3 linked regions of the Saccharomyces cerevisiae S288C genome follow. The protein of the gene in region 1 interacts with the protein of each later gene in a biochemical or structural test. Each region holds a gene or a part of one and is shown in the gene's direction. Other genes may lie near its edges.

Region 1 (6,405 bases):
TGGCTGAACATCTAACAAAGATGGGAACTTGTCGAACTCGGTTTCCGGTGCATTAACAGAAAGAATTTTCAATTTGAAGGTATTGCCAAACTTGGCGAGTTCATTCTTGGGCAACCTGGCACGTAAATCATCTAATGTTACTATAACTTCCCGTTGAGGCCCCTGTCCACCTAGGGAAACCGGCAAGTATTCAATATGGCCCCTGGCCAAATCATCACATATAATTTCAATCAAATAGATTCCTGTGGGCGATAATATGCGGCAACTGCCGTTACCCAAAGGATATACAGAGTGTTTTATATTGGGGTATCCGCCCAATTTTGTAGGTCTCATGAACGATGGATCGTAATAATCCTGTGGTAAAGTGAAAGAGGGGTGGTACAAAAATCTTACCGTATCGAGACGGTTCCAGGTACATTCTTCCTTGGGGAAGATGGGAGGACTAGCACCAGTTGAATTAGTTCTTACAGAATAAGCCTCTTTAGTCAAGAAAGACCTATTCAAAGTGGTATAGCCTCTTAGCATAACACCGCTTTCCTGATGAGGACAACCCAGTAAGTGACCAATCTCATGCATAAATGCTCCCAACGTGATAGTCAAACATTCCCAGTAAGTACCACACTCATTACAGTCGTTGGCGACTTCACTGGTGGAGGATCTTGTCTCATCAGTAAAATAAGGCACCAATTGCTCGAGACAAGTAGGCCATGAGTAAAGCCCGTGCGACCCAAAAATGGCGAGCTTAATGCTGTCGTCACCCCCACCCAATGCGGCGTGGCCTCTAATCAACTTACCATCCCAGTGGGTGTCTAGAAACATACAAGCTGCCTGAACAGGCTTTTCGTTATTGGTGAAGGGTCCGCCGTAACTTTTAAGGGCGTCCATGGCTATCCCAAAAAGGGCGCCGGTGTTTTTCCCTTTGGAATTCTGTTGAGCTATGTCAGGGTCCTGGATTTCCTTCACCGTCTTTTCCGAACGAACTACATGTATTTTGATGGTGTTTCTCATAGCAGGCCGTTCGAACAGCGTGTCCCAGGTAAATTCTTCAACAAAGGGAAACGTCCTATTTCCCATACTGTTTCTCAGCATTTGCTCGTTCGTGTACGCTTGCATGAGTCTGGCCCCAAGTCTTAGCTTCTTGATTGCCAATTCGAGGCCATTCCCGCCCTCTCTGTCCTTCTGTTCTCGAGGAGAGTCAAACTGTAAAGGCGAATCCTTGGCCAAGATCAGACACAGGTGTACGGGAGGGTTCTGCGTCAGTGGTGTGTAGTAACATACGATTGTCCTAGCGGTGTTAGTGTCTGTAACAAAGGTCAACTTGTTCTCACCAGGAGTCAATATCACAGTGGCCTTGAAGAACTGATTATGTATGGGGTAAGTAATTGGAGGCAATTGTGGATGCTGCACTTGAACGGTCTTCGCACCATTTTGCTTATTGCATTTTCCGTGCACGATAAGACAAGGAGAAACGATTTGCTCGTTCTCTCTCAGGTTGAATAGATCAATATCCTTCGAGCCTACCATTTATTTCTTTCTCTTCGAACTACTACTTCCTTTTTTTTTTTTTACTGTATACGATCTAATAATAAGAAGAAAGAAGAACTCCTTTTAAATTTCCTTTTTCTCTCTATTTTCCGGCGACCGCTACTCTTAAACGTCCAAACCAAAAAAAGATCGAGAGAATTGACTGCGCCAAGACACATGAACTTCTGAAACCTAAGAAAGCCTGACTGTTCCTAAGGTGATCTATATTTATATACAACATCATGCTCTTAAAAGAATAGGTTACGTAATTAATTGATGGAAAATTTCAGCAAATTTCCGCCTAGAATGCCGGGTAACAAAAAAGTAATTAGTGCTATGTTTGGGTGATAGAATCGTGTCACAAATATACATAGCACTGACAAGTGTGCATTTTGCACTAACCACTGCTATAAGTTTTTCAGCTTAATGCAGTCTATTCAGGCACTATCTGGGCTTGAAAAACAGTCTTGGACATGGCCACTGGAGCAGATTTGTTAACGCTTAGCTGTTCTCTTTTTTTTTTTCTTGTTTTTTCCATTTACGGCAGAAGAAAATGAAAACTGGAAGAACGAAAACGAAGAAAAACAAAACTATGTAAGGAGGATGGTACATCAGGAAACAGGCCAAAAATAGCACTACAAAAAGGTTTTATCTGGCACTCAGGTCCATTTTTGCCGCATTGAAACAGACATAAATATATAAGTCTGAGACCATCTGCAAAATGTCTCATCACAAGAAACGTGTTTACCCACAAGCTCAGCTCCAGTATGGACAAAATGCCACCCCTCTACAACAGCCAGCACAATTCATGCCTCCGCAGGATCCTGCTGCAGCTGGAATGAGCTATGGTCAGATGGGAATGCCGCCACAGGGTGCAGTCCCTTCCATGGGGCAGCAACAATTCCTAACCCCTGCTCAAGAACAGTTACACCAGCAAATTGATCAGGCCACCACTTCCATGAACGATATGCATCTGCACAACGTACCGCTAGTCGATCCTAACGCTTATATGCAGCCACAGGTTCCCGTGCAAATGGGCACACCTTTGCAGCAACAGCAACAACCAATGGCAGCGCCTGCGTATGGCCAACCTAGCGCCGCAATGGGCCAAAACATGAGGCCCATGAACCAGTTGTATCCAATCGATCTGTTGACGGAATTGCCTCCTCCAATTACCGATCTGACCTTGCCTCCCCCACCGTTGGTTATTCCTCCAGAAAGGATGTTAGTTCCTTCTGAATTGTCCAATGCGTCTCCAGATTATATCAGGTCGACCTTGAACGCCGTTCCTAAGAACAGCTCCCTGCTGAAGAAGTCTAAACTTCCATTTGGGCTTGTTATCAGACCATACCAACACTTGTACGACGATATCGACCCGCCTCCATTGAATGAAGATGGACTTATTGTCCGTTGTCGTCGTTGTCGTTCTTACATGAACCCTTTTGTCACTTTTATCGAGCAAGGCAGAAGATGGAGATGTAACTTTTGTCGTCTGGCCAATGACGTTCCTATGCAAATGGACCAGAGCGATCCAAACGACCCAAAGAGTAGATACGACAGAAATGAAATCAAATGTGCTGTGATGGAATATATGGCCCCAAAGGAATATACTCTAAGACAACCACCTCCAGCCACTTACTGTTTCCTGATCGATGTCTCCCAGTCCTCTATCAAGAGTGGGTTACTGGCCACTACCATCAACACCCTTTTGCAAAATCTTGATTCCATTCCAAACCATGATGAAAGAACCAGAATTTCCATCTTATGTGTAGACAACGCCATTCACTACTTTAAAATCCCATTGGATTCTGAAAACAATGAAGAGTCCGCCGATCAAATCAACATGATGGATATTGCCGACCTGGAAGAGCCTTTCTTGCCCAGACCAAACTCTATGGTTGTGTCCTTAAAGGCCTGCAGACAAAACATTGAAACTTTATTGACCAAGATTCCTCAAATCTTCCAATCTAATTTAATCACAAATTTCGCACTGGGCCCCGCTTTGAAATCCGCTTATCATTTAATTGGTGGCGTTGGTGGTAAAATAATTGTTGTGTCAGGTACTTTGCCCAACTTAGGCATAGGAAAATTACAAAGGAGAAATGAAAGTGGTGTTGTTAATACATCCAAGGAAACTGCACAACTACTTTCCTGTCAAGACTCATTTTATAAGAATTTCACCATCGATTGTTCTAAAGTACAGATTACTGTCGATTTATTTTTGGCTTCTGAAGATTATATGGACGTTGCATCACTATCGAATTTGAGTCGTTTCACTGCTGGTCAAACGCATTTCTATCCTGGTTTTTCAGGCAAGAACCCAAATGATATTGTCAAATTTTCCACTGAGTTTGCCAAGCACATTTCCATGGATTTCTGTATGGAAACCGTAATGAGAGCCCGTGGTTCCACAGGTTTGAGAATGAGTAGATTCTATGGTCACTTCTTCAATAGATCATCTGATTTATGTGCATTTTCCACCATGCCAAGAGATCAATCATACTTATTCGAAGTTAACGTTGATGAATCCATTATGGCTGACTATTGTTATGTTCAAGTAGCGGTACTTTTATCTCTGAATAATAGTCAACGTAGAATAAGAATTATAACATTGGCTATGCCAACCACGGAATCGTTGGCAGAAGTCTACGCATCTGCTGACCAATTAGCTATAGCGTCGTTTTACAACTCGAAGGCGGTGGAGAAAGCATTGAATTCCAGTTTGGACGATGCAAGAGTATTGATCAACAAATCCGTGCAAGATATCTTAGCCACGTACAAGAAGGAAATAGTGGTGTCCAACACTGCAGGGGGGGCCCCATTGAGGTTATGTGCCAATTTGAGAATGTTCCCATTGTTAATGCATTCTTTAACTAAGCATATGGCATTTAGATCTGGTATTGTCCCAAGTGACCATCGCGCCTCGGCCTTGAACAACTTAGAATCATTACCTTTGAAATATCTAATCAAAAACATCTACCCTGATGTTTATTCGCTGCATGATATGGCTGATGAGGCTGGGTTACCAGTGCAAACTGAAGATGGTGAAGCTACTGGCACAATTGTTTTGCCTCAACCAATCAATGCTACCTCTTCGTTGTTTGAAAGATACGGTCTATACTTGATAGATAATGGTAACGAATTGTTTTTGTGGATGGGTGGTGACGCTGTACCAGCGCTAGTATTCGATGTGTTTGGAACACAGGATATCTTTGACATTCCAATTGGCAAACAGGAAATACCTGTTGTTGAAAATTCTGAATTCAATCAAAGAGTAAGAAACATTATCAACCAATTGAGAAACCATGATGATGTCATCACTTACCAATCATTGTATATTGTTAGGGGTGCCTCTTTGAGCGAGCCCGTTAACCATGCATCTGCTAGGGAAGTTGCAACGCTAAGACTATGGGCTTCTAGCACCTTAGTGGAGGATAAGATTTTGAATAACGAAAGTTACAGAGAATTCTTACAAATCATGAAAGCCAGAATTAGCAAATAAGGCTAAAAGGGAATCAATGATAAAAAGAAACTGTATATTTTTGTTGGTTGCATTTTTGCTTTCCAATTATATTATGTATATTGAACAGTTACTTTAATTTTTACTTCTATATTTCTTTTCTATTTTCATCCATGTTATAAATAAAAGATACAGTAAAAGACTTATGGATTAACTTAAGGAAATGAAGTTGAAACAAATTATACTAACTATCGGATAGCTTTATTTGTTTCAATGCATATAATCGACCTTTTTAAGCCAGAGTTAACTTTAAACCTTTCAGAATGAATTGGTAGATGTTCGGAGTTTATTTTGTCGTCCAAATAAGCTTCAAATTCAGTGATGCTACCACCGACTCCAAAATAAATATCCTTTGCGGCTACGTAAGTTTTGACATCGGTTTGTGGTAAATTGTGTATGTCAAGTATTGTTTCCGCTATAACGGGCAAATTGTCAGGTTGATAAATTGTTTCTGAGGATAATGAAAGGACTTTTTGGCTACCTGAGAGTACTTCATGGATCAAATTACTAAATTTACGTCCCCACGATCCTGATATAAGAGTGACGCTGATATTCCTGCTTTGTACATCGTCGTAAAAGGCAGCTAACAGCTTTGAGGTAAGAAGCAGTTCCTCATTATTTATTGGAATATCTTCACATTCGTCTTTCTGTAAGGCGTACCATTGTTCCTTTGTCAAAACCGTTTTAGCCCATGTTATAACCAAATTCGGTATGGTAACTAATCTTAATACACTGGCATTATAGTCAGTCAAAACAAACTTTAAACCTTTACTTCTATCATTCCGTAGAAGAGCAGATCTGAAAAGAAACTCTGAGGGTAGTGCCGTACCACAGCCTATTTCGACAACCGCGTCGATATCGTTGCTTATTCTATCAACGTTCTCTGACAACAAATCAACTAAATCATAAGAGCACTCCCATGATTTCAACCCACCTTCATAGATGTTCTTTCTCAAATCTTCAGAAGTATCACCTAGTAAAATGTCCAGTTCCGTGGAGTTGTTGTTGGATTGGGCATCTGTCTCTAACATTAGCTGATGTTTGACATCGAATAGTTCCCTCTTGATCAATGGTTTTCTATATATCGGAGATTGGAACTCTTCAAATGTCAATCTAACATCCTTAAGACTTTCCAATATTGTTCCTAGGTCTTCCACATTTGGCTGCACAACTCCAGCTTGCGACAAGAAATCCGAATCTAATGGATTGATGTAAGCAGTGGTATTTTCGTTTTCTTTGCTGCTTTCAACGAATGTTTCAGGTTGAGCAACAAGCTCATCATCATCAAAGTCATTGGAAGTAAAGCCGAAGGAAAATGACATATTTTAGCTACACAACACTTCGGTTCTGATTGTCCTTTT
Region 2 (3,805 bases), on another chromosome or scaffold:
CGTTTCTCAAAGCAGGAACTTTTCAGAAGTAAATGACGTGTTAGACCCGCTTTCTAGTTTGCATGGTCCGTCCAAGAAGGTGAGATTTGAACAGCAAAAGCAGCAACAGCAACATCAGCAACTTCACAATGACTTCAATACAGATTTCAACCTGAAAAGCCCGTCCAGTAAAAAAATGGGGGTAGAACAGCTGATCCAGTCAGCCAATGAAATCAACGATTACCTCGCTAACAACATTGACAAGGTAAATAGCTTTAACTCAGAGCTATTGAGCGGCAGTGGCAAGTTACCTGGGAGAGTAAAGAGTGACACAGCAACTCAAGGTACCGGACGCTTAGATTCCATGTCCAACTTTGCTCTTAGCGATACGGAGTTGGACAATGATGACGATAATTATCTCCTGGATCCCCTTGCAAATGCTAGCTCTACTACACCCACTGTGGAACACCACGGTTACAGCTTATTAGACAAGGCTTTATCCACGTCTGATAAGGAAAAAATATATACGAATAAAGTGAATTCGAATAGTCAGATAGATACTGATAATCACTCTCACGAAAGTGGAAACACTACCAATAACGAAACAGATGAAAATGAGAGTTCGGAGATCCTGGACTACACAAAATTTGATTCTTTCCCCTATCCCCCGTCTTCTGCCCCCAATGGGGAACCACCAGATTTGAAAGTGCTAAGCATTGAATGTGAGCAGGAAAATGAAAAAGAGCTACGACGAATATCTTTATTATTGGATCATTACGAATCAATACCGAAAATACCAGAATTGTCAGACGATGAAGCACTATCTAAGTTCCGTGAGAATATCGAATTAATTTTACAACTATCTAAGAAAATTAACGATAATGCGAACACTTTAGCGATTTCCTCCGAAGATCCTCAAAAATTTGTTAATTTTGTGATGAAGAACCCACCTTCCTTATCATTCAGAGATTTTATCGACAGAATCCAGAATAAATGCATGTTTGGTGCCGTAGTCTATCTTGGAGCCACCTATCTACTTCAACTTGTGTTTCTTACGAGAGACGAAATGGACGGTCCCATAAAGTTGAAGGCTAAATTACAGGAGGACCAAGCCCATAGGATCATCATATCTACAATAAGAATTGCCACCAAGCTATTAGAAGACTTTGTCCACTCACAAAACTACATTTGCAAAGTCTTCGGTATTTCAAAAAGACTGCTGACCAAACTGGAAATTTCTTTCATGGCGAGTGTTAATTTCGATGGATTAATGATTACTTGTGAAAAATTAGAAAAAACATTGCATATCCTTGATGATACAAGACAGGCATTAGGAAACACATGAGTTTTGCATATGTATTATGCAGGTTCATTTGTTCCTTCCCTTATTTCTTTTCATAGTATTTATTTTTATTTATTTATTTATTTTTTTTTGGATTTTATTTTATTTCTTTTTTAATGCTAAGAAAGTAATTCCGCATAATTAAACGTGTGCTGGCCTCGATAGGTACCTATAGTATACAGAAGCTTACGAAAAGCTCCTGCAGGATGGCACTTCTAAAATTCGCGCTCAACATGGCCGTATTGTACATTATATCGTTCTATCATTATATCGTATACGCCCGCATTACCCGACAACTCCGTCTGCAACGCGTTGACCAGAAAACTCGAACAAGAGATCGCATAAAAAACCAAAAGGAAACGAATTACTTGTCAAATAGTTATTGTAATGGATCCTCTAGAAAGGCAAACAGTAGATTTATTTCCTTCTTTTCTAGAAACATCATTATAACTAACAATATATAATTGGAATAATGGCTGGTTGGGATATTTTTGGTTGGTGTATGTTATCACCCTGTTCACGTTTTTCGGATACTTAGTTTTATTCAATGTGGTAAACATTGAATGTTTTCAGCTTAAGATCTATTTTTTTTTTTCTAGAAGAAATTGCGTCCTTTACTAACTTTATTTTACTGTACAGTCAGAGATGTGTTGGCTTCCCTTGGTCTGTGGAACAAACATGGTAAACTACTTTTCTTGGGTTTGGATAATGCCGGTAAGACCACATTGCTACATATGTTAAAGAACGATAGATTGGCAACCTTACAACCAACATGGCATCCAACTTCTGAAGAACTGGCTATTGGTAACATTAAGTTTACAACTTTCGATTTGGGTGGTCATATTCAAGCTCGTCGTTTATGGAAGGATTATTTCCCAGAAGTTAATGGTATCGTCTTTTTAGTCGATGCTGCTGACCCTGAAAGATTTGATGAAGCACGTGTCGAATTAGATGCTTTATTCAACATTGCCGAATTGAAGGACGTTCCTTTTGTAATTCTTGGTAACAAGATCGATGCTCCAAACGCCGTTTCTGAAGCGGAGCTACGTTCTGCTTTAGGATTATTGAATACCACTGGCTCTCAAAGAATTGAAGGTCAAAGACCAGTTGAAGTTTTCATGTGTTCCGTTGTTATGAGAAATGGTTATTTAGAGGCGTTCCAATGGTTATCTCAATATATTTAATTGACGTATACATCTATACCCTTTATATGACATTCACATGAATTCAACAGCTTTGTAATAATCAACAAAATTGCATAGGATGCCACCTCATAACTTTTGAGCACAGCATTTCCGCGATCATAGTATATTTTAGACTCTAAGATTGAATAAAAGTATGATACATCTTAAGTATACATATATATATGTATATATATATATATACATGAAAGTTTACCTCCTCATCTTACGTGGACGAGATTCATCGTCACCGCCCATAGTTGTTCTTTTACCATTCTGGGCGAAGTATTCTTTCTTTTTCTCCTTATCCCTTTGTGATTTTTCTTCCTCCATCTTAGCTAATTTTTTCAATCTTTCCTTACGTTGACTAGCCTTCTGTTCCTTCCTCTTGCTGTCTTTGGCTTTCGAAATCGTCAATACTTTTTGAATGAATGATCTTGCCTTCTTTTCATCACCACCTAGCACCACGGCTCTTTTAGCCATATATGTTTTCTTCTTTTGTGGTTTCATTTGATGGATCTGAGATTTGAATGGCAATTCCTTTTGAACAGCTTTTGGGACCTTTAGACCATTGAAGTGTCTTTCTACACGTTCTATTTTATGATATGCACTGTCCGGATTCGACGGTGTTTCCAGGTTCATAGCCGCTCTTATTTGGCCTGTCAATCTTAAACCTTTCCACTCGGTTTTTTCCTTCAACAATAGTGAGGTAACAGGATTATAGAATTTCTTGACGCGGACAGGATACCATGATCTTAGAATTACAATATCACTCATTAGGATTTTATCCTCAAAGGCTGCCCTATAGTGACCCTCAGGCTTTGAAAGTGCCCTTTTGATTTCACCACGGATACCCGAGACAGTTTTGATCTGCGCACCCTCAAACCTTGCAACTTCCATAGCACTTGAAAACATGTCCTTTATAAAGGCAGTATTTTTGAAAATTTTATATGGAAACCCAACTAATTTTAACTTTTTAACAATTTCAATATTAACGTCTATCTCTTCAACGATACCTGTTGCTGCAATTCTAAAACCGTTCCCGGTATCACTATTAGCAACAATTTGAACACCACAAAAAGGTGTGTTTGGAGAACATAAGGGACCGTAGAAAGCCGCATTACAATATGTGTGTTCTGGTGTATACTTTAGCATTCTGGTTCTTGTTCTAGAGTCAGTTGTTGTATAAATTGGTAAAGTTTGGAACCTTCTCCAACCCAAAGACAAGACCAGTGGGTCATTTGTCTTCAAAATCTTCTTATGCCAACGATGTCTTCTCAACCTGGCTTTGACAATACCGAAC
Region 3 (8,319 bases), on another chromosome or scaffold:
TTTGGTAAATCTGGCATCATGTGAGAAACAACCTTATAACCAGCATCTTTAGACACAGCAAAAGTTTCACAAACAGACCTAACGGTGTGTCCTCTATTAGTATCACGAGCAACGTCTTCGTACAAGGACTGAACACCAATTTCTAATCTGGTACAGCCATATTTTAACATATCGTCCAAATGTGTTTGCGTACAATAATCAGGCCTAGTTTCGATTGTTATACCAACACACTTCGTTAAACTTTGTTGCGAATAAAGAATAGCTTCATCAATATCATTACCATTGAACCCAGAAAGTGCATTATGCAATTTCACAATAAAATCTTCACGATATTCTTTTGGTAATGACATAAATGTACCACCCATCAGAACATATTCGACTTTATCGATGGAGTGACCTAACTGTTTCAATTGTTCCACCCTACCACGTGCTTGTTCATAAGGGTCATAACGAGCTCTGATGGCACGCATTGAAGTTGGTTCATAGCCTGTGTAAGATTGTGTAGAATACTCAAAATCTGAATCTGGACCACCTGGACAATAAACACAAATATTACCTGTATATGCAATGTGAGGACAACGATGTGGTTTACACATAACGGCTACCACTGCAATACCCGATGCTGTTCTTACTGGCTTAGCCTTCAATTTGGGTAATAAATATTTTTTGTATTGGTCTGGAATAGAATTAATGATATCGGTTAACCTTGGTTGTTGCTTTAGTTTATATTTCTTTGAATATTTAGTAATCAAACCATTCAGATTAATTTCTCTTGTTGTTCCCGAGGTTAAAGAATCTGTTAACTCTAATGTGATATCAGCACAACATTGTATAAACCTTTCCTTTTCAGGTGCTAGCTTTTTTTTGTTAGTTTTTGGGCCTTTTCCATGACGAGCCATCTTTGTCAGGGTGTTCTTCGATTTTCCTTAGGTGCTTTTAGGACTTGTTTATTTCAAAACTTTGCACTGGATAATTTGAGATGAGCTAACTAAATTTCAAAATTTTTTGACCATTTTTTTTTTTTCATGAGGAAGAGCCAGTGACAGTAAATAATAAAAGGTGAAATGATTAAACAATGAAAGCGGCAGAAAAATAAAATCAAACAGTGGCAGTATTGACTTTTGAAAATCAGAAGTTCATCCTAAGTTAAGACTTTCTTCTTTTAAGTGCTTTCTCCTTCTCTCACTGTCTTATCGCTGTATATCTCATTGTTGAATAATATAACACAACGTTATAAGTGATCATCACTTTCTGATCCATAATTTCAAACCTCAAGCGACCGTACATGTGGCATTTTCCACTATAAACTTACGAGCAAGAGAAAGATATACGGAAAAGGTTAATTGGCAGGTTACACAAGATTTTGGTCATTGAATATTTGCAGCCCTCCTGCTTGAGAAACTGGACAACAACTGTTATCAATATTCCCTTTTCAAAATAGTGGTATTTAACTGGCCATAACCAAGGAAACCGTTGTACCTATTATTTTGTATAGTCTTCATTTAATAACGTGTTAAGAATGACACCTGAAGCCAAGAAAAGGAAAAACCAAAAGAAGAAGTTGAAGCAAAAGCAAAAAAAAGCTGCTGAGAAAGCTGCTAGCCACAGTGAAGAACCACTTGAATTACCAGAAAGTACGATTAACAGCAGCTTCAACGACGACTCGGTGAACCGTACAGAATCTGACATAGCTTCAAAATCTGATGTTCCTCCGGTCTCATCATCTACCAATATCTCTCCGGCTAATGAAACACAACTAGAAATACCTGATACTCAAGAATTGCATCATAAACTGCTCAACGACTCTGATCAACATGATATTACCGCGGACTCAAATGATTTGCCAGACAACTCAATCGTTGAACATGACTCTGTTATTACCCAAACAAAACCAGCCATGTCTCAAGAATACGAAGAGACTGCCGCTCACTTATCTTCGAGAAATCCATCGCTCGATGTAGTCGCGGGAGAACTTCACAATAATAATGAACATACCCAGAAAATTGCCGTATCCGCTGTGGAAGAGGATTCTTTCAATGAAGAAGAGGGTGAAAATCACGACAGCATAATAATTTCATCATTAAACGATGCTACCCCTTCTCAATATAATCATTTTCTCCCATCCGATGGCAATCTTCTTTCTCCAGAATTATCTTCTGGTGATACGCCAACTCACAATGTTCCTCTAGGCACAAAAGACAATGAAATAAATGACGATGAGTATTGTAATGATAAGGAAATTAGTTTGAACGCAAATAATGTGCTTCCTGATGAACTTTCAAAGGAAGAAGATGAAAGATTAAAACTAGAAACGCATGTATCAACCGAAGAAAAGAAACAGGATATCGCTGATCAGGAAACTGCAGAAAACTTATTTACGTCTAGTACAGAACCATCTGAGAATAAAATAAGAAATTCTGGTGATGATACCTCCATGTTGTTTCAAGATGACGAAAGTGATCAGAAGGTTCCATGGGAGGAAGATGTGAAGAAAGATTTTCATAATGAGAACACAAATAATACTCAAGAATCGGCACCGAACACAGATGATCGTGATAAGGGTTATGAAGGAAACGAAGCTTTGAAAAAGTCCGAAAGTTGTACAGCCGCGGACGAGAGGTCGTACTCTGAAGAAACTTCAGAAGATATCTTTCACGGACACGACAAACAGGTAGTTGAAGGCCAAAATGATTTCACTGGGAAAAATATTGAGAATGAAAGCCAGAAATTAATGGGGGAAGGGAATCATAAGTTACCGTTGTCTGCCGAAGCTGACATTATAGAACCTGGTAAGGATATTCAAGATCAAGCCGAGGATTTGTTTACGCAGAGCAGCGGAGACTTGGGAGAAGTTTTGCCATGGGAATCTACTGATAAAAACGCTGATGTAACGAGCAAATCCCAAGAGAAACATGAAGATTTATTTGCTGCTTCTGGAAACGATGAGAAACTTCCTTGGGAAGTTTCTGACGGTGAAGTATCATCGGGAAAGACGGAAAACAGCATGCAGACTAGTACTGAGAAAATAGCTGAGCAAAAGTTTTCGTTTTTGGAAAACGACGACGACCTTTTGGACGACGACGACAGCTTTTTGGCTTCTTCTGAGGAAGAAGACACAGTACCTAATACCGATAATACAACGAATTTAACCTCAAAACCAGTTGAAGAAAAAAAGGCTTCAAGATATAAACCTATTATCGAGGAGGAAGCAGGAATGCGTCAAGAGCAAGTTCATTTTACCAATACTACTGGCATTGTAACACCGCAGCAGTTCCACGGTTTGACTAAAACTGGACTAGGCACCCCCAACCAACAAGTCAGTGTACCAAATATAGTTAGTCCTAAGCCTCCTGTGGTAAAAGACAATCGTTCAAATTTTAAGATAAATGAGGAGAAAAAGAAGTCTGATGCTTACGATTTTCCACTGGAAATTATTTCAGAAAGTTCCAAGAAGGGTCACGCAAAGCCGGTTGCCGTTCCTACTCAAAGGTTTGGCTCAGGGAATTCTTTTAGTTCTTTGGACAAACCAATTCCACAGAGCAGGAAAGGCTCTAATAACTCAAATAGGCCACCCGTGATCCCATTGGGGACGCAGGAGCCTCGATCTTCGAGAACTAACTCAGCGATCTCGCAATCTCCCGTTAATTATGCTTTCCCTAACCCATACAAAATTCAACAACTACAACAGGCTCCTATCCAATCAGGTATGCCTTTACCAAATACCAACATACCTCCCCCAGCATTAAAAGTGGAAACCACCGTTTCTGCTCCTCCAATTCGGGCAAGAGGGGTCAGCAATGCCTCCGTGGGAAGTTCAGCGTCTTTTGGTGCTAGACATGCAACACAGTACGGCCTCAATAACGGGGTACCTCCGGTTTCGCCATATGGTCAAGCTACCATAAATTTGCCAACTGCGAATAAGTATGCCCCCGTCTCTCCTACAGTTCAGCAGAAGCAATATCCATCAGTTGTGCAAAACCTTGGCGCTTCGGCCGTAAATACCCCCAATTTTGTAAAGACCCATAGAGGCCATACAAGCTCTATTAGTTCGTATACACCAAACCAGAATGAACACGCCTCTAGATACGCACCCAACTATCAACAATCTTATCAGGTGCCATATACCTCACAACCTGTTGGTCCTGTAGCTGGGAATTCAAGCTATCAAAGCCAAACCCGAAGTTCTTATGCAGTTCCTATGATGCCCCAGGCTCAAACTTCAGCAAGTATTCAGCCTCACGCGAACATTCAACCGCCTACTGGCATTTTACCTTTAGCCCCCTTACGACCTCTAGACCCCTTACAAGCCGCTACGAACTTGCAACCCCGTGCAAGCAACATAACGGCTGCAAATTCACTACCTCTTGCAAATTTGCCACTTGCTGAAAACATACTGCCAGAAATTATCACGCATCGAGCTACAAGTAGTGTTGCACCACCACGACAGGAAAATAATCCAATTAAAATAGACAACGAGGCTTTATTACGCCGTCAATTTCCGATTTTTCATTGGAGTGCTGCAAACAAGGTCGTGTACGCAGTCCCCCCTATCCCTGACCAATCGCAGTACATGATTTCATCAAGCATTGTACAGGAAATAAAAGTGACACCAATTGACCAGATAATTAAACCGAACGATATGCTCAAAAGCTTCCCAGGTCCTTTGGGTAGTGCCAAATTAAAAAAAAAGGATTTAACCAAATGGATGGAAACCACTATTAAATCCATATCTGAAAATGAATCATCCACTGATATGACTATATGGCAACTATTGGAAATGAAACTAAACGATAAAGTTAACTGGAAAAATATTTCAAAACTACTATACAATTCTGACGAACTTTTAATGTACCTATCTCAGCCCTTTCCAAACGGTGACATGATTCCAAATGCATATAGACTGGATATAAATTGTCAGATGAGAGTCCTGGCGTTCTTACAAACGGGAAATCACGATGAGGCACTTCGCTTAGCTTTAAGCAAGAGGGATTATGCCATTGCACTATTGGTTGGCAGTTTAATGGGTAAAGACAGATGGTCTGAAGTCATTCAGAAATATTTATATGAAGGGTTTACTGCGGGGCCAAACGACCAAAAAGAATTGGCACACTTTCTGCTCCTTATCTTTCAAGTATTTGTTGGTAACTCCAAAATGGCCATAAAAAGTTTCTACACTAATAATGAGACCAGTCAATGGGCATCCGAAAACTGGAAGAGTATCGTTGCAGCTGTTCTGATTAATATCCCAGAAAATAATGAAGATCCACTACTTATACCACCTGTTGTCCTTGAATTTTTGATAGAGTTCGGTATATTCCTCACCAAAAAGGGCTTGACAGCCGCAGCTAGTACATTATTTATTATTGGTAACGTACCACTTTCTAATGAGCCAGTAATGGCAGATTCAGACGTTATATTTGAAAGTATTGGAAACATGAATACTTTTGAAAGCATTCTATGGGATGAAATCTACGAGTATATATTCTCGTATGACCCTAAATTCAAAGGATTTTCATCTATTTTGCCCCAGAAGATATACCATGCATCTCTTTTACAAGAACAAGGTTTGAACAGCCTGGGGACAAAGTATACTGATTACCTCAGTTCCTCAGTTCGAAAACTGCCTAAGAAAGATATTTTAACAATAAACCTCACTCGTGAATTGAGTGAGGTGGCTAGTAGGCTTTCCGAGTCTAATACAGGATGGCTTGCAAAACCAAAACTAAGCAGCGTATGGGGTCAATTAGATAAATCCTTCAATAAATATATTGGTGGCGATGATATTGATGCATTGAATAAAAAAAATGATAAAAAGAAAGTTTTTGATGGGTTCACACCGGGATCTTCTGCCAATTCGTCAACTGTGGATCTCACCCAAACATTCACACCTTTCCAAGCTCAAGTTACTTCGCAAAGCTATGTGGATACTACAGCTCTTTTGCATAATGCCCATAATGTACCAAGCCATAGTGTGCTGCATTCAAAGCCTTCCAATGTGTCAAAGGGGTTAGTTGAAGCAAACTTACCGTATACGCATAGGATCGGTGATAGTTTGCAGGGATCTCCTCAGCGCATTCATAATACACAGTTCGCTGCTGCTGAGCCTCAAATGGCTTCTTTGAGAAGAGTTAGAACAGACCAGCATACAAACGAAAAGGCTTTGAAGAGTCAGCAGATTTTAGAGAAAAAGTCTACGGCCTACACTCCACAATTTGGACAGAACCATAGCGTTCCAATGGAAAAGTCTAATTCGAATGTGCCATCTTTATTTGCCGACTTCCCTGCTCCACCCAAACTTGGAACAGTGCCGTCTAATTATGTGTCTAGTCCTGACTTAGTAAGAAGGGAGTCTATCATATCTACCGGATCAGAATTTCTTCCTCCTCCCAAAATTGGGGTACCTACTAAAGCTAATTCCTCGCAGGGATCGCTTATGTACTCACCAAGTGTGGAAGCTTTGCCTATCGACCCTGTCGTCCCGCAAGTTCATGAGACGGGATACAATGATTTTGGTAACAAACATTCTCAAAAAAGTATGCCTGAAGATGAATCTCACACATCACATGATAATAGCAATGCTGATCAAAATACATTAAAAGACTCTGCAGATGTTACAGATGAAACAATGGATATTGAAGGACCTGGCTTCAACGATGTGAAGAATCTTCTTCCTATGGAGCCCAACCACCAGCCTACGTCTACAGTAAATCCTATACAAACTATTAGTGACGATATCCAACCGATTCTTCAAACTAACGTGGAGGTCCGGGGTACTGATGCATCGAAAATGGAAAATTCACTTCCCTCCATTGAAAATGAAAGAAGTAGCGAGGAGCAGCCAGAAAACATTTCAAAATCAGCATCATCAGCATATTTACCATCAACTGGTGGATTGTCACTCGAAAACAGACCGCTAACTCAGGATGAAAACAGTATCTCAGAGACAGTTCAATCCACATACTTGCCAGCAGGAAGTATTTCAATGGAAGCTAAACCAATTTCTCAAGTGCAAGATGTTCCAAGAAATGTTAATAATAAAGCATCCAAACTTGTGGAGCAACATATGGCACCACCAAAGCCAAAAAGTACTGACGCAACCAAAATGAACTACTCACCATACGTGCCTCAATCAACTGCCGCTAGTGCAGATGGCGATGAATCAACGATTCTGAAAACATCGCCTGCTATATATGCAAGAACTCACCAAGCACATGCATCCAATCCATCACAATACTTTCCTTTGGTCAACCAAGCAAATGAAACTGCTTCATTCGAATTATCTGAATCAACATCCCAGGCACAAAGTAATGGAAATGTTGCTTCAGAAAATAGATTCAGCCCAATAAAGAAAGCCGAAGTCGTCGAGAAAGACACTTTTCAACCTACTATTAGGAAGGCTTCAACTAACCAATACAGGGCTTTTAAACCGTTGGAATCAGATGCGGATAAATACAATGACGTTATTGAAGATGAATCCGATGACGACAATATGTCTACTGATGAGGCAAAGAACAGAAAGGAAGAAAAAAAGAATGTGAATATGAAAAAGGAAACAAAACCAAGTAACAAGGACATAGATGACAAGTCTAATGGTTGGTTTGGTTGGTTGAAGAAAGATACTGGCGACAAAAAAGTGTATAAGGCCAAGCTAGGTCATAAAAACACACTATACTATGATGAAAAATTGAAACGTTGGGTGAATAAGGACGCAACCGAAGAGGAAAAACAAAAAATTATTGAAAGTTCGGCACCACCACCTCCTCCAATCGTGAAACGTAAAGATGGCGGCCCAAAGACAAAGCCACGTTCAGGCCCCATCAATAATTCCCTACCTCCAGTACATGCCACATCAGTTATTCCGAACAATCCAATCACTGGTGAGCCTTTGCCGATCAAAACATCCCCTTCTCCTACAGGACCCAATCCAAACAATTCTCCATCACCATCCTCTCCCATATCAAGGATTTCTGGCGTAAACTTGACTAGCAAAAAGGCAAACGGTTTGGATGATTTATTGAGTTTGGCAGGAGGACCCAAACCAGCAAGTACGAGAAGGAAGAAGAAAACAGCGAGAGGCTATGTTAATGTAATGGATAACATACAATAATTATAGTAATACGTTTTTCTTTCATGGTACCCTTATGCCTTCCCTTTTCTTGATGTATATTATATACTTATAAAAACCGTAGTAAATTTTATTAAAACAATGATTACAGGAATCCGTATTTAGGTTATGCATCGTTGTCAGTAAGAAATCAGATGAATGCGATCTGAAACTTTGCTTATACTAATATTATTCTATCATACCTCATTTTCTTG

What was found. Proteins that work in one complex are often made in the same cells at the same time.
Region 2: the proteins of SEC24 (region 1) and SAR1 form a complex in vitro, tested with the Saccharomyces cerevisiae proteins (3 studies listed by BioGRID).
Region 3: the proteins of SEC24 (region 1) and SEC16 form a complex in vitro, tested with the Saccharomyces cerevisiae proteins (2 studies listed by BioGRID).

Annotation. Positions count from the first base shown.
Region 1 is NC_001141.2:156,006-162,410, reverse strand, and holds SEC24 (COPII subunit SEC24), read left to right. Parts: upstream 1-2,245; coding exon 2,246-5,026; downstream 5,027-6,405. Other genes in the region: YIL108W (putative metalloendopeptidase), read right to left, coding at 1-1,524; HPM1 (protein-histidine N-methyltransferase), read right to left, coding at 5,233-6,366. UniProt on the Saccharomyces cerevisiae protein: Component of the coat protein complex II (COPII) which promotes the formation of transport vesicles from the endoplasmic reticulum (ER).
Region 2 is NC_001148.4:136,905-140,709, forward strand, and holds SAR1 (Arf family GTPase SAR1), read left to right. Parts: upstream 1-1,793; coding exon 1,794-1,821; intron 1,822-1,960; coding exon 1,961-2,505; downstream 2,506-3,805. Other genes in the region: PCL8 (Pcl8p), read left to right, coding at 1-1,324; GTPase BMS1, read right to left, coding at 2,716-3,805. UniProt on the Saccharomyces cerevisiae protein: Small GTPase component of the coat protein complex II (COPII) which promotes the formation of transport vesicles from the endoplasmic reticulum (ER).
Region 3 is NC_001148.4:385,548-393,866, forward strand, and holds SEC16 (COPII coat assembly protein SEC16), read left to right. Parts: upstream 1-1,519; coding exon 1,520-8,107; downstream 8,108-8,319. Other genes in the region: Elongator subunit ELP3, read right to left, coding at 1-899. UniProt on the Saccharomyces cerevisiae protein: Involved in the initiation of assembly of the COPII coat required for the formation of transport vesicles from the endoplasmic reticulum (ER) and the selection of cargo molecules. Also involved in autophagy.